Drosophila melanogaster: one gene and its partners. The protein of the gene in region 2 purifies or fractionates together with the protein of the main gene of each other region. This does not show direct contact. Each region holds a gene or a part of one and is shown on either strand. Other genes may lie near its edges. The genes, in order: RPA3, Gnf1, prod and CG3548.

Region 1 (4,971 bases), on a different chromosome or scaffold from region 2:
CAGGAAGTCGTAGCTACCGATAAAACGGCCATCAATACAATCTTGGAAGCTGATGTGCGTCGCACAGAGATGCTAAAGAAGGCCGATGAACTGGAGAAACAGTTTGTCGCTGGCGATTTGACGGTGCAGGAGGAGCTAAACGATACCTTCGCGGAACTGAAAGCCATTGGAGCCTACTCGGCGGAAGCCAGGGCACGAAGAATCCTTGCCGGTTTGGGTTTCAGCAAAGAGATGCAGGACAGGCCGACGAACAAATTCTCCGGAGGCTGGCGCATGAGAGTGTCCCTAGCAAGAGCTCTCTATCTGGAGCCCACGTTGCTTATGCTCGACGAACCGACCAATCATTTGGATCTTAATGCTGTCATTTGGCTGGACAACTATCTGCAGGGCTGGAAGAAGACCCTGTTGATCGTGTCCCACGACCAGAGTTTCTTGGACAACGTCTGCAACGAGATCATACATTTGGATCAAAAGAAACTGCAATACTACAAGGGCAACTATTCCATGTTCAAGAAGATGTATGTGCAGAAACGCCGCGAGATGATCAAGGAGTACGAGAAGCAGGAGAAGCGCCTGCGCGAGCTGAAGGCCCACGGTCAGTCGAAGAAGGCAGCGGAAAAGAAGCAGAAGGAATCGCTCACACGCAAGCAGGAGAAGAACAAGTCTAAGCAGCAGAAACAGGACGAGGATGAGGGACCTCAGGAGCTGTTGGCCAGGCCCAAGGAATATATTGTCAAGTTCCGCTTCCCGGAGCCATCGCAGCTCCAGCCACCCATTCTGGGTGTCCACAATGTCACCTTCGCCTTTCCGAGCCAGAAACCGCTGTTCATCAAGGTTGACTTTGGCATTGATCTAACTAGTCGAGTGGCCATCGTGGGACCCAATGGTGTGGGCAAATCAACCTTCCTCAAGCTGCTGCTCGGTGAATTGGAACCGCAGGAGGGTGAGCAGCGCAAGAATCACCGACTTCATGTGGGCCGCTTCGATCAGCACTCAGGTGAACATCTCACGGCAGAGGAATCGGCTGCAGAGTACCTGCAGCGTCTGTTCAATCTGCCCCACGAAAAGGCGCGTAAGGCATTGGGTTCCTTTGGTTTGGTCAGTCATGCACACACCATCAAGATGAAGGATCTGTCCGGTGGTCAGAAAGCCCGTGTGGCCCTCGCTGAGCTATGCTTGAGTGCGCCGGATGTACTAATTCTCGATGAGCCTACGAACAATCTGGACATCGAGAGTATCGACGCCTTGGCGGAGGCAATCAACGAGTACGAGGGTGGCGTGATCATCGTCTCCCACGACGAGCGTTTGATCCGTGAAACAGGTTGCACTCTCTACGTAATTGAGGATCAGACGATCAACGAGATTGTTGGAGAGTTCGATGACTACAGAAAGGAGGTTCTCGATTCGCTCGGCGAGGTGGTCAACAATCCTAGCGTGGTGGCCAATGCGGCTGTGCTGCAATAACCCTCAAGTTGCATACGGACTTGGAGTCCATGCAACTGGTCATCACTCGTCAGCTGGCTCGCCCTATGTTAATTGTTCAACTGTTGAATTGATTATCTGCTAGTTAGTCTTTTTATACCAACATATATACAATAACAAATTGTGGAAGTAAATGTTATTACACAAGAGCGTTTAAGAATGTGTTGTTTATGTTATTAAATTGTGGGTATTAAGTATTTGTTGTAGAATATACGTGGAACTGGTTAAAACACCCGTAAATTGTACTCGTAATATATGTAGATAGATGATTTATATTTAAAGTTAATGCCAGCTCTGAGTGTTCTCCAAAAAAATGGAAAAAATAACATTAGAGTACATAATATTAATTCTTAGATATAATTGTGGACATCCTAGCCGCTGCGATAGAAGGCCTTGACATTGTTAATCAGGTGGCTCAATCCATTATAGCCATCCTTATCGAAGTCGATGTTCTCGCCGCCAAACTCGATGACCTGCAAATGAATAGTGGGCAAATGGTTTGGGATCATTGAAATAAATGACTCCATGGATTGAGTGCACCCACCTCCTTGGCCCTGAGGGTGTCCGCACCATGGGGCACTCCAATGACCTCGACCCAGGCCCCTTCGGCGGCGCCCAGCTCACCCGGCAGATTGATCTTTAGCTTGTGGTTGTCTGTGGAACTGGCCAGCAAAGTGGATCCCGCGACGCTCTCCACGCGAACCATTATGCTCACGGTTTGGCCGGAAAACTGCTTCAGCATGCCGCCGTTGATAATCGAGCGTGGATCAAAGGCATCCATAATAACTCCTCAGTTAATAACGTTCAAAAAACAGCCAATTTCAGCAGAAAATGAAATGCCGTAAACAAGAAAGAGCGCCAATAGTTATCGAGCGTGCTAATCGATAATAAAATTGCATGACGTCTGCTATCGAAATTATTCGAATTTTGTAGCAAAAATATTTATGGATTTATTGTAACATCAAAAGTTATTACATTATTACTGTGGACTTATGTATTATAATAAGAATTAATAAAAATAATTTATAATAGAATTATAAAAAGACCTGATAGATTACATGTATTACAACAATGTTATCGACAGCGAACAAGATGTTCGAATCTTTCTGATATTTTGTCCGGTGTGAACGTGCGAATTTTAGTACGACAACCAGTTACATCGATGTATCGATAGTTTTTAGACTGGCCAATGTTTATTGTTATAAAATAAATGTTACAAATAAACAATTAATCACTTAGTATAAACAAAAATAAGTGCAAGCAGCAAGTGCGTTGTTAAAACGACCGCCGCCCTCCGAATTTCCTTATTGCGGGCATTAAATCGCAACAACAACAACGCCACCAGCAACAGCAACAACAATAAGCAGGAGATTCAGATTCGCAACGCAATCAAAACGTAAAAAAAAAACGAAAAATAAAAAACTACAAGGCGAAACGCATAAATAAATAGGGAAGCAAATAATAGTAATAATAAGACTAAAAGCAAGTGGAAAAGTACGAAAGCGAAAAGAGAAAACATATGTACGTTGCGTGAGAGTGACGTGTGTGTGTGTGTGTCAGTGAGCGAAGGAGAGTGAGCGAGAGAGGGGAGGCGAGCAAAAACAAAAACAACAGCACAGCATAAGCGAGACCTTGAAAACTTTAAAAGCAGCAAAAAAAACAAGACAACAGCCAAAAATAAGAAACTAAAAGCTGCAAAAGTAATAAAAAATATATTTTAGCCGAAAAATTTCCATAATAACAATTCTAGAAGTGCGGAGCGTACACCCTGTTATGGAGAGTGACGATTTTCATTTACCGCAAGGCGCCAATTAAAGGGGAAAATCCATAAATCGAGGATTACAAGTGGAAAACAAGGAGGCAGTAACTCCAGAAAACGCCCAAAAAGTCCAAAATGGCAGCACCAGAGACGGGCAACACGGGCTCCACAGGATCCGCTGGCTCGACAGGATCGGGATCGGGATCGGGATCGGGAAGTGGGAGCTCCTCAGATCCAGCGAATGGACGGGAGGCCCGTAACCTTGCCGAAAAACAGCGACGGGATAAGCTTAATGCCAGCATCCAGGAGCTGGCCACCATGGTACCACATGCAGCCGAATCCTCCCGTCGCCTGGACAAAACCGCCGTCCTTAGATTCGCCACCCATGGCCTGAGACTTCAGTATGTCTTTGGCAAGTCCGCTTCCAGACGTCGCAAGAAAACCGGCCTCAAGGGAACGGGTATGTCTGCCTCACCTGTCGGAGATCTACCCAATCCCAGTCTGCATCTAACGGACACTCTAATGCAACTGCTGGACTGCTGCTTCCTCACCCTAACCTGCAGTGGCCAAATCGTTTTGGTATCCACCAGCGTGGAGCAGCTATTGGGTCACTGTCAGTCCGATTTGTATGGCCAGAATCTACTGCAGATCACGCATCCCGATGATCAGGATCTGTTAAGACAGCAGCTAATACCCAGGGATATAGAGACCCTGTTCTATCAGCATCAGCACCACCAGCAGCAGGGGCACAATCCCCAGCAGCACTCCACTTCCACGTCGGCCTCAACTTCGGGCAGTGATCTGGAGGAGGAGGAAATGGAGACGGAGGAACACCGTCTGGGTCGGCAGCAGGGAGAGGCGGACGATGACGAGGATCACCCGTACAACCGACGAACACCCAGCCCGCGGAGAATGGCCCATTTGGCGACCATTGATGACCGACTACGCATGGATCGGCGCTGCTTTACCGTCCGCTTGGCTAGGGCTTCCACGCGAGCGGAGGCCACGCGTCATTACGAGCGGGTTAAGATCGATGGCTGCTTTCGTCGCAGTGACTCCTCCTTAACCGGAGGTGCCGCTGCCAACTATCCGATTGTCTCCCAGCTGATACGACGCTCGAGAAACAACAATATGCTGGCTGCTGCTGCAGCAGTGGCAGCAGAAGCGGCGACGGTGCCGCCCCAGCACGATGCCATTGCCCAGGCGGCGCTGCACGGGATTAGCGGCAATGATATTGTCCTGGTGGCCATGGCCAGGGTGCTGCGAGAGGAACGGCCGCCTGAGGAGACGGAGGGTACAGTGGGCTTGACCATTTACAGACAGCCAGAACCCTATCAGTTGGAGTACCATACGAGGCATCTAATCGACGGCAGCATCATCGACTGTGATCAAAGGATTGGTCTGGTGGCGGGATATATGAAGGATGAGGTGGGTATATTAACATCATCTCTCTGAACTGCTTACGACAACTAATCGTGTACTCTCCACTCGAAACAGGTGCGCAACCTTAGTCCCTTCTGTTTCATGCACCTGGACGACGTTCGCTGGGTGATTGTGGCCCTTCGACAAATGTACGATTGCAACAGTGACTACGGCGAGAGCTGCTACCGTCTGCTGTCCCGCAACGGGCGCTTCATTTACCTGCACACCAAGGGATTTCTGGAGGTCGACCGTGGCAGTAATAAGGTGCATTCCTTTCTGTGCGTCAACACGCTGCTCGATGAGGAGGC
Region 2 (7,562 bases):
CCAACAACAACAGCAATGGGGTGGGTGCTTGGGCAGGGGGTGTGGGAGGGAATCGGAGTCTGCACTTGCCTGCTCTATCGCGCGCTCGCTCTCGCTCTCGCGTTCGCTCGCCCAGCTCGGCAGCGTTGTATCTGTGTGTGTGCGCGGTTGAAGTCGTTGTGTGTGTGCTGGAATTTACGTGCTTATTGAATTTTCAGAGAGTTGCGCAAAAAACAAAAAAAAGCGGACGAGTTCGACGCTTTGAACTACAATTAATTTTAATTTGATTAAAAGCGCGACGCCAGGCTGGCTTCGCTCATTTATGGGTGTTGTTTTTCGCCGAGCTGCGCCCTTTACACGGATACACAGATACACACTCCCACACACACAGGCGCGCGTAAGCCGAGAATTTTCAGTGCGAAAAATATAGAACGCGAAACCCGTCGAACGTGGCAGGTATTCCCGGAAAATCAAGTGGATCGCGCACTCTGGCAGTTAATCGAATGCTTCGCTTGAATTTGCCCGCACATGCTGTCCCCTGACTTTTCTGGCAATTTTCACTGCATTTTCCGCTGCCCAGTACGTGCATCCGTTCGCGTTGACATCGGGGAAAAAACTCAGATACGATACTCTTTGGCGCTACCACGAGATAGCAGGGCTGCCGAAACATCGATTGCTGCATTATCGATTGTGCTTCGCAACATCATCGATTTGTTTCAGGCCAAAAACGTTATTATGTTATAATATATTTATAATAATTAATTAAGTATAAATTAAAGACTTAAATTAATTTTTAAATTGTAAACGTATTTTTCACAAATGTAAATGTACGATAGTACAAATTAGTTTAAATTATAGAGCATGGAGTGACCATCACTGATCGCGTTACCAACAATTTTTTTTAAATAAATTTGAGCTTGACATATTCGCGCTCTTGATCCTTATACAGTTAAAGCAAACAATTGATCAATTAAAAAATCATCATCTCAATTCTTTCGTAGTATTATTCATACAGACAATTATTTTATTACCAATTTTTCCCTTTTTAGTTTACACCTACGCCACTCAGTGTTATAATAAAATGTTTTGCAATTCAAGCACATATTTTATTGGTAAATATATATTTTCAGCAGTATAAACAGTGTCGGCCAGTGCCGGCCATTCATGAGATTTTAAACAAAAACTACTTACAAATGGGAAATTTGATGGCAAAAAAATCATCATATAATATAGGAAATCGTTAGTGCATTCACTTTTTGGCCTTGGCCTTAGACTTTGAAGCCGTGGAAGATGTAGCCTTTTTGGATCCACCAGACGCTTTTGACGTAGTTGTCCTCTTTTTGGCTTTGATCAAACTATCCAGCTCTAGGTTGTCCTTGTCCTCGTCTTCCTCTGATGATAAGTGGCCACCAGCTCCGTCCTCTTCGCCCGGACCCTCGTCCAAGTAATCGTCATCCGCTCCAGCAGCCTCTGATTTCTTCTTTTTGATGCCTGCTTGAGCGGAATAGGAGTATGCCATAACCTCCTTGTTGTAGGATCGCGTTAAAGCGGCTTTTACTCTCCCATCCACTGCGTCCAGTGGGGATTTCTTGCCGGGCCAGGATGTAAGCTCGACCAGCGAGTCCAGATCCTCACGGAGTAGATGGTAATCCTTCATAACGTCTAAAGCAGCGGGCACACCCTCCTGCCCATCCTTTGCAAGAGGTCGCACAATATTATCCAGAAGGAAGGGGGCGTAATCCAGCCTCACTGATAGCCTTGAGCCCGAGGTGCAGACCCTAGTATGATCATGCAGCTCCTGGGCCAGCCTGGCACGTTTTCCAGACTTGGAATTCTTGCCCAGCCACCCGGGAAAGTTAATCTGTCCAGTGAAGTGGCCACACATGTGCTCGCCAGGAAGGACCGAGCTGAAAAAGGCCTGAGTGGGTAGAAGACTCCAAGCAGAATTCGCACGAATACGCTTTTCAACAAGGTCACCCAAGCTTAGGGCATCTGCCGTAGCTGCCACCTTTGCCAGGACATCCTTTCTGCAAAGAGTGAAGTTGGTGAATGGGTACGCCCTTGGCTTAGGTAAACTAGACTTACTTGTTTCCCTGTGGTAGGACCTGCAGATAGTTTTGCTGCACAAAGAGCGGGGCCAGGCTGTAGTCGTGAAAGAAAAGGTCGCTCTTGTCGGCAAAAGACATGTGTTTGTGCTCGTCCGCGGTGAAGACTTTTCGCACCACCTCCCAGGGTCCCAGCTTCAGATCCTTGGTGGCAACCTGCTGCCCTGACTTTTGGGAAGCGTCTTCCTTGGCGCTCAGCAGGGCAATGTGGTTAATGGATTGCCGAATATCGTTGTTGGTAGCCGCTATGATTTCTTCCACTTTGGCCGGTGATATCTTTACTTTTTCCTTAAAGCAGATGCTCATTATTTTCCCTTTGATTTGCTCGAGGCGAGGCCTCTGAAATCGCAGATCGTAGCAATAGTTAACCAGGGATCGAATTTTTGGATGGTTGCGATCATTACACATGCAAATAATTGGAATAGAGCTATCCTTGATCAAGGCAATCAGCTCCTGCATTCCACCACGGTCCTCGTTACCGGCCATGCCATCAACTTCGTCCATTATGAGCACATGCTTGCGGGAGACCGCTTGGCCTTGCCCTGTAAAGTAACCGGAGAGGGATTTGTTGCTCAGCAGCGTGGACACTTCATCCTTGAGCAAGCGTTTGCTGCGTGTGTCGGAGGCGTTGAACTCCACCGCATCGAAGCCAAGCTCCTTCACTACCAGAGTCGCCGTCGTGGTCTTTCCTATTCCAGGGGGTCCCGAAAGTAGGGCCGCCTTGTAGAAGCTGCCGTCGTCGTTCTTGGCCCAAGGATTGGGCCGTTGGGGCTTCTTGTTTCCATCATGGTTAACATACCACTTGGACAACCAGTTCATCAGCCTAGGAAAATTAAAATAATGTAAAACTTTAACCCTCTCCTGTTTGGCTTTCAGTTTCAAATTGTGACTGTATAATAAATATATAACTTTGAAAGTGGAAGCTACCATTTATACATTTAGGTTACTCACTTGGTCACGTTGCTGGCGGCTCCTGCCTGGCCAACGATTTCTTTTATGCTCGTAGGCTTGTGCTTGTCCACCCAGGCCATCCCGACCACATCCAGAGTCTTCAGATCGGCAGTTCTTGGCGACGGAGGGTGTTCTTTCTGGGAGCTGGGCTCTTTTTTTACTTTCAAGGTAACAGCTGGTACATCATTAAGCTTATCCTTCGTCTCCTTCGGGGAAGTGTGTTCTTCCTTGACTTTATGTTTGGCGATATCATGCTTCTCGCCATATTTCAGTTTAGTGGCTTCCTTCTCCTTTTTATCACTGGACCTTCTAGAAGTCTTGACTTCCTTTTTCCCTTTCTCCTCGGAGCTGTGCTCCTTCTTCGGGCTTTTCTTCTCTTCCTTTACCTGCTTAGCGATTCCTGATTTCTCCCTGATTAGATCGAAGAGCCCGTCCTCGCTGAGAATGGGTATATTGAGTTCCTCAGCCACAGCTAATTTCTTTGGTCCAGCCTCTTCTCCTACGACCAGATACTTGAGTTTCTTTCCAACCACGGTCATCACCTTTCCGCCATACTCCTTGATCACGGACTCCGCCTCCTCTCGTTCCATGGACTCGAGGACTCCGGTTACGACAAAGGTTAAGCCACTCAGACAATCCGGGGATCCCTTTGGAATTTCTTTGCTGCCGGGGTTCAGGCACGAACTGCGGTTTTTGTACTTCTGGTAGAGCACGGCGGAAGCACGTTTACGCTCGTGGCGTTCCTCGTCTGTTAGGACACTGGATTCTAGATCTGCCGCAGGTTTCTCCTTCTTCACACGCGGAGTGGTGGCTTTGGATTTTGTTGACTTGGGTTTTGGCGGTTCCGGGCTGCTGTTCTTTGCTCTTTTAGGCGAGGGAGAGCTCCTGGTTATCGAGTGAACCTTTTTTTCGGGGGCAGCCTCTTTGATACTCTCGTCCAGATCAACTTCCATTAAACTCCGGTCAATGTCTTCGTTCTCGAACTCGAGAACAGCTTTGGTCTTCGGCTTGGGCACAATCACCCGTTTGGTTTCTCCACCGAAAAGCTCCGTAGGATCTACGTGCCGCTTAAGCTTGGAGAGCGCTGGTTTCTGCCCGTTCCTGGCCTTCTTCGCAATCGGTTCCGGTGTGGCGGCCACCACATCATCCTCGCTGGATGCTGTCTTCGAAGCCTTGCGTTTCTTGGTCTCCGGCGGACTGACCACCTCGTCCTCGTCGCTGGAAATTATCACGGCTTTCCTGCGTTTTGGCGCCTTCGACGGCGTCTCTCCATTTTCGGCCTCGGCACTTTTCGCCTTGGCCGGCAGCCGTTTGAAAAAGGAGTCAATGCCCTGGAACAAATGATTTTGTTAAATTGATGTTTTCACCTAGTGCCTGACTGTCTCTACACAACTTACGCGTTGCATTACGGCAGGAATTAATTATTATAAAATTAATGCTGCGAGCTTCAGAATACGGAACAGTGTTACCAGACACGAAATCCCCAGTGTAACCGCGTCGGTGACGATTGAAAAAAACTAGTATAAGTATTTTAAAGAATCAAAAGCACTGAACGTTATCGATAGCTCACTAAATGTGTGTCAAGATACAAAAGGTATAAAGTCGTCTGGGCAGCAAAAAAAAATTCGCAACGGTGAATTGCGAATGAAAAGGAAATAGAATTTATTGTTTTAAGCACGTACAGAAAAGAAAAAAGTCAATTTTATGAAAGAGGCACAAAAACTGGAAAGAAATTAAATGAACATAACACTTGTTGTGTTATTAAATATGATAAATAACCAATAAATCAATTTTGTCATTCTCTGTCACTGTAGCGAGGAATTGAAAAGTATTTTCCACTTTACATTCAGTTGGTTATCTAATCCAGTTGTAATCGATATTCCAACAAAAAAGTTCGGACGGCAACGGGCTGCACGTTGCAAATCTTAAAACTGATAAATCTATTGTTTATATATTTCTTTGTCTTTGATGACTTTGATTTCGTGAACCGTGTTATAATTTTATTTACATGAATGTTAATTTCACCAATTTTTTACTTCAAGTGCAGATCTACAGATCATATCGCATGCGATTTTCGATGTATTTAGCGAATACATCTTTAGCGGAGACATCCTTCACATATATGTATATTTGTTTTTAGCGAAGGCACCCTCCTGATATAAGGTTTTTGTCTTTGATAGAAATCAGAGGGGCTGTAAAATTTTCAAATGCTGAGCTCAATTTTTTGCCGAATACTTAATTACTATTTTATTTAGTTATTTTTATTTTATTATTTAGCTTCAACATATATTCTCTTTTAAATAGTTTGTTGTTCAATGTACAATTGTACACAGACCTGACACAATAGGGTGGCGAAAATAAAGGCGACTTCAGGAATAGAAGGAAGCGTTGAGATATAAAATAATTATTCATATTTCTGTCACGCTTCGAATACCATTATATACCTAAAATTAAGTTACCTTTCAACTGGCTACTCTTATAATCGTATTTTCAACATTATTGACTTATACCCATTACTCGAGGAGTAAAAGGGTATACCACATTTATACTATATATACTATAAACTAAATTTTTGAAGAATTTGATATTTTTTCATAATTTCATAAGTCATGTAAAGTTCTATCGATCTAAATTTGTATCCAAAGCCGCACAAAACTGCCACGCCCACTTTTGAAAACTTAAGATTTTTCTTCGTTTTATTATTTGCCTTGCCAATTTGAATTATTTCAATCAATTATGAAATTTGCGCGTCCGCATTCACTCTAGCTGAGTTACGGGTATCTGAAAGTCGGGGAACTCGACTATAGTATTCTCTGTTTTTTTTTTTTCTCAAAATGCGTTTAATTGGAAGACTGCAATAAAAGGTTTTTGATTTATTTTTTATTACAGTATGAATATGTTCTATATTTGTATAATTGAGCCGGTGCTTACGAAGTAGTCTAGAATGAGCATTTGATATTATTAGTATTACAAGTGGCTAATGCTTAATGCATTATGTACATATGTATTTTGGGCAGAGAAGCCGCTGCTGCTGCTGTTAACATTCGTATTATCCTGGCTTATAAGCCAAGATGATGGGCTTGGGCGTTTCGAACGCCATCACTATGCGAGTAGACTAAGATCCGGAGCAGGAAATGCCAGCCAGTTCGCGATTAGTCTATTAAAGCATATTTGGGCCGAGGCCAATGGGAACTTGGGTCATTTTGGCTAAAAGTTAAATGGTATAAACTAAGCATTATATTTTACACCTGCAGATATACTTTAGGTAACTGCCAACAGGACACTCACCTGTCGAGGGTCTAGTGTCGGTGTTTATATATAATAGCGATTCTGACACGTTTTGATTTGAGTTGCAACTACGCCTTATTCAAATGATAGTTAAAAAAGTTTATAGTTATAGGCAGAAGGACGCGTTTTCGACCATATAAAGTATATTCTTATCAGGATCAATAGACGAGTCGATCTGGCCATGTCCGTCTGTCGAACGTCGAGATCTCAGGAACTATAAAAGCTAGAAGAAGATTCCAGATACATAGAAGCAGCGCAAGATTGTTGGTTTATAAATATATTTTATTTTCACTCTTAATACATTTTTGTATATTTTAACAGAGTAGAATTTAATGCGAAATTGCGAAAATGCGAATAAATTTTTGTCAAAGGTTTCGAGGCCCTATATACATTACTGGATACTAACCTCTTAAAAATATCTCGAATTTCCATCTATATCTTTATGAGATATTTTCTTGGATCAATTCAGAAAGGCCTTAAAAAATAAAGTTTATACAGTTGAGCTTCTTGCTGCTGGTTACACTGCAAGAAAAAGCGTTCATGTTCGACGTCCGGTAACTAAATAAGTTAAAGTCCAGATATGGGGAGTTATAATAGCTTAATGAGTAACGCCTATCTCTGCCTTAAATACACACACCTTCAAAACATTTCATAGAGTTCATGGCCGATTTAAGATGATAATAAAACTAGGAGTACAAAAAAGCAGAAAGTCCCACGTTACCCATGAAATGCATGTTGAAAAAATGCAAAGCTTGTTAGTCCGTGTCAGCAAATTGCACTTTACAATAAATGTCAAAGCGGAGAATGCAACTAATGCCAACTTGCCTTTTCATTTAACATGTTATTTGACATATGCGCCATCAATCTTCCGCTAATGCAACGCAATCTAATCAAATCAAATCAAATCAAATCGCAATCACATAATCAACGCCACTTTACATCGCCCCGAAGTCAAATCCCCCGGCACCCTTTGCCCTAATGCTTCGCACAAGCTGTTTAGTTGCATTTACAGGGCATTAGACCCCCTCCACCGATTTCCCCCTGTTCCGCGGCGGTGGGCAACCCCCTTAGCCAACTGATTACACGCGCAATTAAGGGTTGCGGCCGAGCCACCCACTCCACCGCCTACCTCCCACCCAACGACCTTGCTGGCGGCGGTTGCACGTGCTAAACGCCACCGAATGTCACCCTTGGGGCCTATGTGAATAAACACGGCTTAACACCGATTTTGATTAAATT
Region 3 (5,844 bases), on a different chromosome or scaffold from region 2:
TCGGGCTTTATCTGCAATCGAGAATAATTAGATGGTTAAAATAATGGTTTACTCGCCTGCGGACTGGTTACCTTGCTCCACTCGCACAGGCACTTGAAGCAGAACTGGTGCATGCACGAGTCCGTGAAGCACTTCCTCCTGCAGCGGGACAAGCAGATGGCGCAATTGGGCGGCGGCGAGTTGCGCTCTACTGTTCCGTTCTCCTCCGCGGCGGATGCACTGGTGCCCGGCTCACCGATGGCGTTGGCATTATCCGGGCCAGCGGATACAGGTTCCTCGGCCTCGTTGTCTCCCGACTCACTGCCGCTCTCGGTGAGATCAGCAAACTTAATGGCCGCAGCCGGTAGCGTCCGGCCTCCGGCATTGGATCCTTCCAAACCAGGCTCCACAATCACCGATGCGCCCAACTCATCCACTCCCAAATAGGGCACGTTGGCGGCAAGAGCTCCGGGATTCTCCTCCGCCATTCTGGCGACTATATAGCGGCTATATGGGCTGTAAAATCGGCCGTAAGATGGGCGAGAACTCGGGCCTGAAGTTTTGTGTCTACTCTGTCCTCCTCTCTCTCTCACTCTGCTCCTCTCGCCCTCTCTCGCTCGCACTCGCTGGCTGGCACGCTACTCTATCATCTGGTTCGCAATTCGGTTCTCAATCCTCGTTTTCCAGCGGCCTTTTCCGGGCTAGGGGACGCATTATCCGTATTCTCTTGCGGTCTATGTGGTGGTCAGTGGCCTGTTCTGTAAAATAGCACAATTTTCGGGCCAGAAATCGCACTATATCTCAGTTAATTTTACACCTGAAAATGCAGGAAACTTGATTTTTTTGACCACTACGGTGATACCGTTCGTCGCGTACAGTTAAATGCTGCAGACCACGGAGATTGATATACTTTTGAATTACTTCAGAATACAAATTTTAAATAAAAAAGGTTTGGAAAATATGTTGAGTCAGCGGTTCTACTAGCTGTTCTACCCTCTGATTGAACTTGATTGAAAAAGCAGGACTAGCTTTGTTACAAAAATTACGAAATACACAAAAAATGCTTAAAGAACTAGACCAATTTATTTTATAAATTGAAATGTGATATTTTGAGAAAAATAAATATTTTTAGATGTATTACACAATCTTGTGAGATTGTGGCGCGGGTAAATTACAAATTCCAAGAAACTTCTTTTCGAACCTAGGAGAACCAAACAATTATTTTGATATTTTCTAAAATAGTTTGGTATTTCGGTTTTGGTATTTAATTTCGGAGCCTTAATTGTTTGTGTTATCGATAGCTCGTTGCTTTATTGCCTTTTTGTGGCGTCTGTTTCAATTTGTTTGTTTTCAATTGTTGGTCATAATTTGGATCCCCAAAATGAATCGACGCAACAAGCGGACGTCGTACTACCAATACGAAGTATACCTAGACTTCATGGAGGAGAATCCCCCGATGTCGGCCAACAAACTGAGTCGCACCCAGGACGGCAAGAAGTGGAAGGAGCTCAGCGATCTGCTAAACAAGTGCTCCACGGGTCCCACTTTGTCGCCCGAGGAATGGCGAAAGGTATGTTGTAACCAGTTGGGTATCGAGTGTACAAGCCCACAGTGTGTCATGCTTATAGCGCCTCAACGACTGGAAGAACAGCACGCGCTCCAAATACCGACGCAGCATCAACTCGGATGACAAGAGCAATGCAATGACTCCTCTGGAGAACAGAGCCCTGCAGATCTTCTCCTTAGAACCGAATTTTCGCGAGGGAATTTCGATGCGCCTGCACGAACTGATGGAGGAGCAAGAGGAACTGGATGAAGAAGAGAATGAGAACCTGGAGGAGTTGGTGGATGAGGAGGAGGAGGAGGAGGTGCAGTACCAGCAGTTCATAGCAGAGCCTCACGAGCAAGCCAACCCAACGATCATCAATGGTCACAGTGCCGCGAAAAAGCTAAGGCTCGATGGTTCCAGTGAGATTATCTACGAAGGTGGGTAGACGCAAATCTAATGTAAATACTAAATATCCTATAAAGGGACATAGCCTTGATTTCAGTCGCGGATGTCACATCTGATCAATCTGCCGCGAAAGAACCGTCTGCCTTCTATGGAGAGAAAATCCAGGAGCAGCTGAAACGCATTTCGGACATACACGAGGCATCGCTGCACTTTAAGATAGCCCGCTTCAAGTACAATAATCCCGGATTCGAGTACGTTCCGGAATTATAGCCCATGCTAGCCATGCACATTGATATAATGTATAATGTAATATAATATGTGAGCTCAGAGGGACCTGCTGATTTCGCCTCGAATTAAAAGCCGCGGAACGCTCAATAAGTAGTACAGTAGGCATTCGTTGAAAACAAATTCTTGAGTAGTGTGTACCATATACCAATTAGTCGTTTTTAAGACTGTTGTTATGCATATCGTTCGACGAAATACTTTTTGCACATATATTTTGAAATGTATTATTGATTTATATGAAACCGCTAATAAATATTGTGACAAATCATTTCTGAATCCGCATGTTTTTATTGCAACAAAATTGAATTATTTATTGCACATCTAGCCATAACTATCGCATGGCATCTAATTGCTTTTTTGGCTTCCCGCCAGATGCGCACCACTGGCGTGCCGAATGCAACCCTGCGCCAACAGCAACAAAATGCAACTAGAAAATCCCAAACGCTAAATGCGTAAATTGTTTGTGAACATCTCGCATCGCTTGGTGGCGTCGATTTGCATTTTAGGGCTTTTGCCAGCTATTTAAACACGGCATCGAGCACGCAGGCACAGAGCAAGGATACCCGGATGAACGGCAAGATGGACCGCCGCAAGAAACGCACCTCATCGGAGCAGTACCAAATGTACATCGACATGATGGAGAGCGACCCCATTTTCGCCACCGGACGAGTGCCGCGCGACTATGACCTGAACTACTTGACCAAAAAGTGGAAGGAGCTCTCCGACCGGCTAAACAAGTGCAGCTCCGGACCCACACTGACGCCGGAGGAGTGGCGCAAGGTACGAGTACCACTACATCACCCAAATAATGTTACCTCTAATCGCGAATTTCCTGCTCCACATACAGCGCCTAAACGATTGGAAGAACACCACTCGCTGCAAGTACAGACGCAGCCTTCTGTCCACGGAAAAGGACATCTCGATGACCTCCGTGGAGACGCGCGCTCTCGATCTCTTTGGCAAGGTGCCCACCACCGGCGGCGAAACGATGCTCAATCTGAAGTCCGAAAAGGATGAGCACGACGACGAGATGGAGGAACTGGGCCAGCGTACTTCGGTGGCATTTCAAAAGGAACTTCAGGCAGCCGTTGAAGAGGCAATCAACGATGAGGTGGACGAGGAGGAGATGGTGGAGGAGCATGTCGATCACGAGGACATGATGGAGGAGAATCTGGCGGAGACCGGCATCACCGCGTCCACAACGGCGGTCAATACGGGTGGCGGCACCTATCGCACCATCGTCGTGGACAACACATCCTTCGAGCATGTCGAGGAGGATCCCCAAACGGTGCAGCCGCACGCCGTCGAGTACGTCACATCCCGCAGGCCTGCTGCCCCCGTCATCAATCCGGGCACAGCCTCCTCCGGCAATAAGCTGATCAACGGCGAGCTGCCCGTCAAGCGGATGCGCACACAGCCCAGGGAGCAAATTATCTACGAAGGTAACTATGCCGTTTTACTTTGCTTAAGTTTAAGCAGTTAACATCACGTTTTTCCATATCTTTCAGTTAAAAATGCGCCGCGTTGCATTTCAAACATGCAGGCCGTGCCGCCGCTGCACAGTACAAAGCTGGAGCGGGAACCCAGTTCGCTGACAAGCGCGCTGAGCAGCAGCGATGCCCAGCAGATCGCGCACCAGCTGAAGCGACTGGCCGACATCAAATTCGAGACACTGCAATTTGAGATTGCGCGCTTCAAGTTCAACAACCCGGGCTTCCAGTACGATCCGCCGTCCTTATAGTGTCCCAAGCGGCAGGGCGAGATCAGTGGGTCTAAGCAGTCGGCAAAAACTCCAGCACCAGCAGAAGCCACGGCGAAAGGATCAGCATTAGCAAAAGCAATGGAACGAGTCAAGTCAGCTCGAATTGTATAGGTCTTTTACGAATGTGCTCTTTGGCACTCGAACGTTTTCTAGCTCTCCAAGTCCTGCGCTCCGCCGGAACACACACAAAACTGTAACTTATAGTAGCCAGATTTAAATTGACTAGTTTAAAATTGACATAGAATTCTATTGTGTAAACAGTTATTTTCAACTTTTCAAGCACTTCATCTACGATATCCATATATATGAAATAGGCATAAAATTGTAATATCTAAAGTGAAAAACAATTGGACAAGTAATTTTAACGCGTTGTATGTAAATGTTAAGAATAAAGTTTACCAATGATAAATATGCGCCGCACAGACGTGCTCCACCTTTTGCCTGTTGTTGCATTTTTAGAGTTTATTTATGACGCCGTGGCCAGAATCGAAGCCAACACGAAAAGTCCATTAATCAAAGCTAGGGAGATGGCGTCGACAACGCGTATATGCATTGTGGCTCGGCTTCGCTTTGGCTTTTAGTTTGGGTCATTTTAACCTGACCGCCAACTAGTGGGCGCACTTTGTAACTGTCAGCAGCGCCTGGAGGCATCGATGCGAAAGAAATCACTTGTGGCTGTTATGGTCGCCCGATGCTGATGCAACAAGTGCCGATCCAAAGTCCTCGGCTGCTCCCTGCTCCACCTACTCCGCTTGGATAACTGCAATGGGCAATAGATCATTTGCGGGCCGTGCGCTGCGAATCATAAATTACCGAAGACCAAGGTGGAGCGTTTGAGGGAACAGACCTCCGCCATGGGACGACGCACGGTGTTCCGTTAGGAATCGTTGGCATCGCGTTGATAACTGCACAACACGTCGTATGCTTAATCTGTGCTCTATGTAAAGGTGCACTCAACAAAATGACCAGCTAATCGAATTCCTGATATTTGTGTTTTATCTCACAGGTGAGAAATTGCATCTTAGGCATATTTCTTGATATTTCAGGCTTGCTCCTTGTTGGTCATTGATTTTTTTGAGTGCAATGTGGTGTCGCCTGTGTGGGTGCCGCTCGCTCTTTGATGAAAAGCCCGCTGGCAAAGCTGATTAACCTGCACACACACCTCGGCGGGAAATGAGTGTCTGGGACCCAGATGTCTTCTTCTCACATGGCCATGAAATGGAGGCTCCATCTGCGACTGGGACTGCGACTGGAACCAAGTTTGAGGAACTGATGGGTCGTCGCTCAGAGTGCATGCCCAGTCCATTAAGCAGTTCGTGTTGCACTCGTTTCGCTCTGCCATCCACGGCTATATGAGTCCATGGATTTGGGACTGGATATGTGGGTATGGTGGGTATGGGTATGGGTATGGGTATGGGTATCGTTATAGGTATGGGCCCAGGGTCTAGGCCTGGAATTGGCTTTGGTTTTGGGCTTGGGCCAGGGCACACATGACGGCCAGCGTGCAGAATTGACCCCATGGGCGGGTGCTATAAAAATTCAGCAAAAGAAACTGCACAAAATAAAAGCCGACCAGTATGTGAGATGCTGGGATACGTAGATGGAATACCCTTCGACTGAAGTGAATTGTTTCTGAAAAAGACGAAAGTGGCCATTATTTAATATTTAATTACTTTTAGCGGCATGATATTATTAGTACCCCATGAAGGATACGAGTATATGTAGAAACAGCCAGTAGAGAGCCCAGTATGTTGTCCCTTCTCATGTATATTGATGAATGAATCCGTTTCGTCATATTTTTAGAATGACTAACTCGTAACTGACAAAACAACGCCGAAGTGAACTTTGCCATCCTGAATTTGCG
Region 4 (6,475 bases), on a different chromosome or scaffold from region 2:
GGACGTGCAGCCTGTCCGGCGGCTCCTCCATCAGCCTGCACTGCACCTCGCCCAGTTTTCCCTCGGCTCTGTAGGATTCCAGGAGTCGCTGCTCCCGCTGGCGCTTCTGCAAATATATGCCCTCGGTAAAGAAGTACTTGGTGATGTAGTCGATGGCCCACTTGATGCGGCTGCGTGCCTGCAGCTCCACCTTCCCATCGTTGGTCTCCCATATGGCCGCCAGTTGCTTCATCGCCTTGGCGTACTCCGCCAGTTGCTTGGCGTTCCTGGGACTCGTGTGCTCCTGCCAGGCCGCTGTGGCGCCATACTCCTTAGTCAACTGGCGCAGGCTTTCGTGGCAGCTCTTCACGATGCTGGCCAGGCGCTGGTGCTCCTCCGTGGCCATTTCGCTACCGTTTCTTCGGTGTTACTAAAATGGTGGGTCGCGTGCAGCAGGGATGAGACAATCCGGACACACTGACTAATCGGTATCGTTATCGAAGCAGCCTCAATGAAGCGAGTTTACCGTTCAGAACCAATATTCAAAAGTAACGTACAAAACTAGTTAATAAAAGTGTAAACCTTTATGATGCACTAAATTATTTGCACTTTTCAATTTCTAGACGTGTCACAATTTAAGTATCTGGTTAGATAAAAATGCGTTCCTGGACGTCCTGTTAGCTAGCTGGCCTTGCCGCCGTCTGGTTTTATCATAATCCTGGGATTGGGCGAATCGTCAAACCAAGACATTACATTGGCGCACAGCGCAAGGACCTCCATCTGGGGATTCGGGGGAAACACGCGACCAAAGCACTCCAGCAGCATGGGCTGTCGGCGGACCACCTCGTAGTACTCATCAACCCCAATGTTGGTATCCTTGTCCAAGTCGAATTTGAGGAACAGCATCTCCTTCATGTCCTGAAGGAATGCGAAATGTGTCAGTGTTTCAATGGAACAAGTGTAGGGGATGGTGCCTCACCAAGCGCAGCTCAATGGATTCGTCTTCATCCTCGCTCTCAAAGAACTTGCCGACGAAGAACCCAACTTGCTCGCCATTCAACTGCTTGGAATCGCTTTTATCGTAGACCTGCAATGTAAGCAAATGGTCTAGGCTAATTTCATATGAATACTATGAATTGCCCACCGAGAATGCGAATTCCATTTTCAGCTGAAGATCTTTGGTGAAGTATACGGTGAAAAGCCGCACAAAGGACTCCAAGTGTATATGCTTGTCGGAAAAGAAGTCAGGAGGCCTGGAACCTGGTGTATGGGCTATTCTATACACAATGGTCGCAATGAGATCGCGATCCACGATCTCAAACAAGAGCTCCATCAGCGCAGAGAGTTGCTGAATGGTCATGTACTTTGCTCTCGGCCCATTGACCAGCACAAACTTATGGTAGAGCATTACAATGCTAATCAGCTCGTTATGCGAGAAGATCGAGTCCTTTGCCAGGCGAGCAATGTCCTTCATATACACGTAGTTGAAGCGGGCATTCTCCAGAGTGTCCAAGGAGCCGTCCAGGTCCTTCATTTCGATTTATCACAGCTTTCTAAAAGTTCAAGTGGATGAAATATATTGATAGAACCCTTGATTTTTAAATACTAAGCATTTGCAGAGTTGCCCACTTTGATTCCTGTTTCGGGGACTGAGAGATCGGAGAACCCCCCTTTAAACGCACGTCGTTCATCTGTTTATACACTATGTATTTGTATTTCATTATCTAATGGTTTAATCGTACCTTGCTCTCGCCCGATATAGGGTATTAATTAAGCAGAAGCAGGTGACAGGATATTACAGCGCTATACAACACGACGTACAGTAACTTATGCTTAGACGAATTATAAAAGATTCTCGCAATGTATGGACAATGGATACATTGATCTGCAACTACGGCAGCCCAACTGGTGGCAGCACAAGTATAAGTAGTAGTTGTGTAAAAAAAACTTAAAGCTAACAAATGAAGGTATAAAAATAATACAGTGGCCATAGAGAATACTGACTGATGAGTAAATTGCGTTCTGCAAAGGGGAACTTATTCAGAGTCTGTGCATGAGTATTTTCGAGTTTGTTTTTTTTTCGACGACACAACCGCATTTTGAATTGATCTCTTCGCCCGGAGTACTTAACAGATACGGATACAATTATGTAATACTAATTTCTTGAAAATGCAATGCCTGTGAGTTCGTCTCGTGCGAATTGCACAATAAACAACAGTCCATTCGTCCGAGTGGCAACTTGAGTGTGTCGATGAGTATTGTATGCGCGTCCGGCGTTTACGTTTCCGTTTCCGGTTACTCTGGCTGACCGGAAGAGCTACATTTCGCTAAACATATTTCAAGCTAAATTTTAAAGTACTGTTGATGTTTCCTCTAAATGCCTTACACCCTAATTGCTGGCTCTCTTCGTATTGTATATGCATATGGGCCAACAGCCACGCCCCTAGTTGCAGGCGGCATTGAGCGCCAGCGCCCCCTCCGCACTGGTCGATGGCCCGACCTCGTGGACATTGTTGTAGTCCGCTTTGGCATTGCACTTTGCTGAACTCTGATCCTGTATGCTTCCGTTCAGGCCACCGCTCTTCAGCGAGTAGATCCCCAGGCGCGCCTCGTGCTCCCGTCGTTGCTGCCGCAGCCGGATGTCGTGCTCCTCGCGCATGTGCCGCAGCTTGAGGTCCTGCTCCTGCCGGTAGTAGGCCATCTTCACCTCCTGCTCCATCTGCTCGAAGCGCAGCTTCTGCTCGTGTTCCCGCCGGGCGTAGTCGATTTCGGCCAGACGGGCCTGCTTGAGCAGCCTAAACAGGTCCTGCTTGTACTTCTGCTCTATCTCCGTGGCGGCGACCAAATCTAAGGACTGGCTATTTGTGTCTGCAACTGGGGTGGCGCTCGGAGCTGCGTTGGTGGAGGCTTCGTTCTCGTCGGACAGCAGCGACTGGGCCTGTGAGAGCTGGTTAACGATGAGATAGTATTATTAGTAAGAAAGATTAAGATTCCCCTTCACAAAAATTTGCAACTTGTTCAGCTAAACCTTAATTAATAATAATAAATAAACTTGCGGCTTGTGTTCAAACTCACATTCCTTTGTCGCCGCTTTCGTGGTGGGCCTACGCCCTTTTCGTTCTCCTCCCCCGTTTCGCCGGACGTTTCTGTCTTGGCGCCCGAGGGCGACTGCTTGGCCTTGGTCCGCTTGCGTCGCTGGGCTGGCAGCTGGGCGGGATTTCCCTCCTGCTGGGAGTCCCCGTCTCCGCCAGCAGTGGAGGGCGGCGGCGAGGGGATGGCTATTGTGGAGGTCTGCAGCGTGTCCTCGCTGGCGTTCGTAGAGTTGGGCAGAGCGGCCAGCGGCATGTCTTCGTCCTCGTCGATGTCCATGAGCTCCTTCTTAAGAGCGCCGTTTGTGTTCGCGCTGCGTGTCTGACTGCGCGAGGTGACCGGATCCTTCTGCATCTCCTCCAGGAACTCGATCATCCGCATGCCTTCCAGGGCCTCCGTTTTCGGATGCTTCTGCTGGTGCTCCCGCTTGGCGGAGTTCTTCATGCTGCGCCACTGCACCTGGATCTGCTCCAGCAGGCGATGGCGGAAGTTAAGGGCATTGAACCTGGATGGGGGGTTGGAATGGAAGGAGTGAAGGGCCATTATAAGACGAGCTCCACTGCCCAATGGCGCAACTTACTGCTTGGTGATCTGCGACCAGGCCAGACGCTTGGCCTTTATGCTCTTGGCGTCCACGCTCCGGTTCTCCACGAAGGCCACCTTGGACTTGATGACCTCAAGGAGCAGCCCCCTTTCCGCCTCCTCCCAGTTAAGGGAGCGTTTCTTGCGCGTGCCCTTCTTCTTGCCACCCGCGCCTTCCTTCTCGCCAGCATCCTCGGCCGCATCCTCCGCGTTCTCCGCCCCCTCGTCCGCGGTGGCGCTGCTTGACTTCTGCGGCTTCAGCTCCACCTTCTCGTCCTCGTCGTCGTCCTCCGGCGGAGAGGAGGCTCCCTTGGTCAGCAACTCCTCCAGTTTCATTGTTTTTGTTTACACACTGGATTCGCTTTGGCTGGATTCTGATTCGAATGCCCAGGCTTGCAAAAATCCTATTTGATTTCTGTATATACTGGAGCTTAGTGATGTGAGAAGTGCATCGTGCATCGGGCATCGATATATTCGCTGTATCGATGACGTAGCGAATACATCCTCCCTGTTAGCGGAGACGCACACAATAAATTCGCACATAGTATATTTCGGTATATTGGTCGATGAAAATCCCAGCTCTCGCCGCTTTGGTCATACTGTCAGTATCGAAGGAAGTAAGTAGCAGGCGTAATTTTATGTTTCATAAGAATCCGATTTAAGAATATATCTCAACCAAACCAGCGCGATGGCATTCGGTGACTATCCAGCTGAGTACAACCCCAAGGTGCACGGGCCCTACGACCCCGCTCGCTTCTACGGCAAAGGTGAGCAGGTTACGTAATTTTTGCGGCAGGCACAGAGCACATTTGCACTGCCCAAAAATGTGCAGCGTTTTACATAATTTAAACAACTTTCCGACCTCTCCGCTCTCTCCGATCCGCAGCCGATGTGCCCTTCGGCCAGGTCAAGCTGGGCGAGATCGGCGCCTGGCTGGGACGCCGCAACAAGACCCCCAACGCTGTGGCCGGAGCTGTGAGCCGTGCCTGGTGGCGCTGGCAGCACAAGTACGTGTTCCCAAAGCGCGCCGGGATCGCTCCCTTCTTCCAGCTGACCGTCGCCAGCATGACGTTCTTCTATCTGATTAACTACACCAAGTTGAAGCACCACAGGAACTACAAGTACCACTAAGCGGCGCTGCCCGGTGGTCCTGCATCTGCAACAGATTCTACACTTTCCACAAGGCGTGCGAGAGGCGGGCAATCACCACTAAACTATATCTATTTGGCTTTTGTGTTTTGAAAACTGCTTAAGTGAATAAAACGGCTGCGAATATCCATGCTGCCATAGACTCAGACTCGGTCTCTTCCGCACTCGAAGACTGCATTTGGGCCGATGTCCAGCTCGGAACTGGACTGCTCCCAGCCGAAAGTTGACCGGGCCGTGTGGATTTCGCAGATAAAGGGCAGCTCCCGGTCGCAGTTCAGGGTTTGCCAGGTTCCCTGCGGCGTCAAGGCCACGCAGCTGGCGTTGCCCAGATCACCACTGCAAATTCGGTTAGATTTAGAGAAGATAGCATTGGCGGCTAACCTAATAAACTGTCAGCCTACCCAACTCGAGGATGACCACCATCCCAGGCTCTGTAAAGAAAGCACTGCAAGCTCTCCCCTTGGGAGTTCCTGAAGTCCAGTGGGCTCAATGACGTTGAGCTGTTGTAGGCCAAACCCACATAGGCCAGATAGACATTACCTTCTGCCAGAGACTGTGATTTCCTGTTGAATTCCACTAGCCATTGGGCCAATAAACTGGTTCTGTGTTCGGATGCGATGTGGGCCAGACTACCAGTGAACTCCGAGGAGTTTGAACAGGTCAGTGAGGCATTCAAGTAGGCACTAGGCTGAGTATACACCACGAACAGCCCAACCTCCGGTATGCAGCTGTAGTTCCTTACGACTAGCAAGAACCACAAAATTATTCAACCAAACAGATACGCTAGATACTTCATTTAACCTGTTGGCCTTCCATATAAGCTGTAGTAATCGAAGCGACTGTCATTGACCATCCCTGAAAATGTGTTATTCTGAGGACACTTCAGGACGTGGCAGTTGAAGAACTCCCCTGGCTGTTCGAAGACACTCAAACGACTTCGAATGCGCTGCTCCTTGTCGCCCTGCTTGCCAAAGGACCTCTGATCAAATGCATTTAGCCTCCTTTTCGGTCCTCCTGGAGCGTAGTTCAAGGCCAGCCCACGCATATCATGCGCCAGATCAGCACATTCCTTCAGAGAGGATGTGTTTTCCAGGGCCAGAGCTTCATCAGCTGCAGCTCGTTGGCACTGGCGAACCAGGTGGAACTGCAGCGGGTTCAACTTCCCAGTGGGGCAGTTCAAGGAGCCCCTCGACACACCCATCAGGTAGGTAAACACAAGAAACAGGACGGCAGGCGCCATTGGAAGTAACTCGGAGTAGTTGAATCCGAATCTCACGTATCTACGATCATATCTCCACTGACATATCACACTGAAATTGTGCCGCTTGGTGTTGTAATCCACGACAGGAAGTGTCACTCACTTTCAGATATTAGGGTCAGTTTGAGTTTATTGTTCATTGATTAATATTAACTTAGAGCTACACTAAATTGAGCTTCAGTATGAATTGAATCGCGTGGCTTGTACGGCTCCAGAGGAGCATTCTGGTTGCATCCTGGCAGTGGACGTCGGAATGCTCGATTGAAGCGGTGCAAATGCTGAGCTTAGTTTGAGAACTGTTCACTTCTGCCTTCATATATGTTATATATATACCATGTATAATAGGTGGCTGATCCGGACGGCTGAATTATAATAAGGGCTAGAACTCCTGCCGCATGGGAATTAAGTACGTAAATC

Evidence for each region.
Region 1: the proteins of Gnf1 (region 2) and RPA3 purify together in Drosophila melanogaster (affinity purification with mass spectrometry, with the first as the bait; one large-scale study listed by BioGRID). This does not show direct contact.
Region 3: the proteins of Gnf1 (region 2) and prod purify together in Drosophila melanogaster (affinity purification with mass spectrometry, with the first as the bait; one large-scale study listed by BioGRID). This does not show direct contact.
Region 4: the proteins of Gnf1 (region 2) and CG3548 purify together in Drosophila melanogaster (affinity purification with mass spectrometry, with the first as the bait; one large-scale study listed by BioGRID). This does not show direct contact.

The regions. Positions count from the first base shown.
Region 1 is NC_004354.4:11,613,492-11,618,462, forward strand, and holds RPA3 (replication protein A3), read right to left. Parts: upstream 2,350-4,971; 5' UTR 2,264-2,349; coding exon 2,027-2,263; intron 1,956-2,026; coding exon 1,854-1,955; 3' UTR 1,606-1,853; downstream 1-1,605. Other genes in the region: CG1703 (uncharacterized protein), read left to right, coding at 1-1,464; Met (Methoprene-tolerant), read left to right, coding at 3,377-4,669, 4,739-4,971.
Region 2 is NT_033777.3:4,903,593-4,911,154, reverse strand, and holds Gnf1 (germ line transcription factor 1), read right to left. Parts: upstream 4,534-7,562; 5' UTR 4,442-4,533; coding exon 4,433-4,441; intron 4,367-4,432; coding exon 3,036-4,366; intron 2,974-3,035; coding exon 2,065-2,973; intron 2,007-2,064; coding exon 1,229-2,006; 3' UTR 1,074-1,228; downstream 1-1,073. UniProt on the Drosophila melanogaster protein: The elongation of primed DNA templates by DNA polymerase delta and epsilon requires the action of the accessory proteins proliferating cell nuclear antigen (PCNA) and activator 1. This subunit binds to the primer-template junction.
Region 3 is NT_033778.4:18,967,950-18,973,793, reverse strand, and holds prod (proliferation disrupter), read left to right. Parts: upstream 1-2,660; 5' UTR 2,661-2,785; coding exon 2,786-2,998; intron 2,999-3,065; coding exon 3,066-3,660; intron 3,661-3,726; coding exon 3,727-3,959; 3' UTR 3,960-4,390; downstream 4,391-5,844. Other genes in the region: Topors (topoisomerase I-interacting protein), read right to left, coding at 1-11, 72-467; CG15107 (uncharacterized protein), read left to right, coding at 1,361-1,549, 1,608-1,965, 2,019-2,203.
Region 4 is NT_033778.4:24,597,560-24,604,034, reverse strand, and holds CG3548 (uncharacterized protein), read right to left. Parts: upstream 4,089-6,475; 5' UTR 3,988-4,088; coding exon 3,650-3,987; intron 3,575-3,649; coding exon 3,055-3,574; intron 2,927-3,054; coding exon 2,423-2,926; 3' UTR 1,668-2,422; downstream 1-1,667. Other genes in the region: Samtor (S-adenosylmethionine sensor upstream of TORC1), read right to left, coding at 1-385; CG3565 (uncharacterized protein), read right to left, coding at 661-897, 959-1,066, 1,124-1,513; ATPsynF (ATP synthase, subunit F), read left to right, coding at 4,340-4,418, 4,538-4,782; CG13587 (uncharacterized protein), read right to left, coding at 4,944-5,136, 5,202-5,544, 5,602-6,040.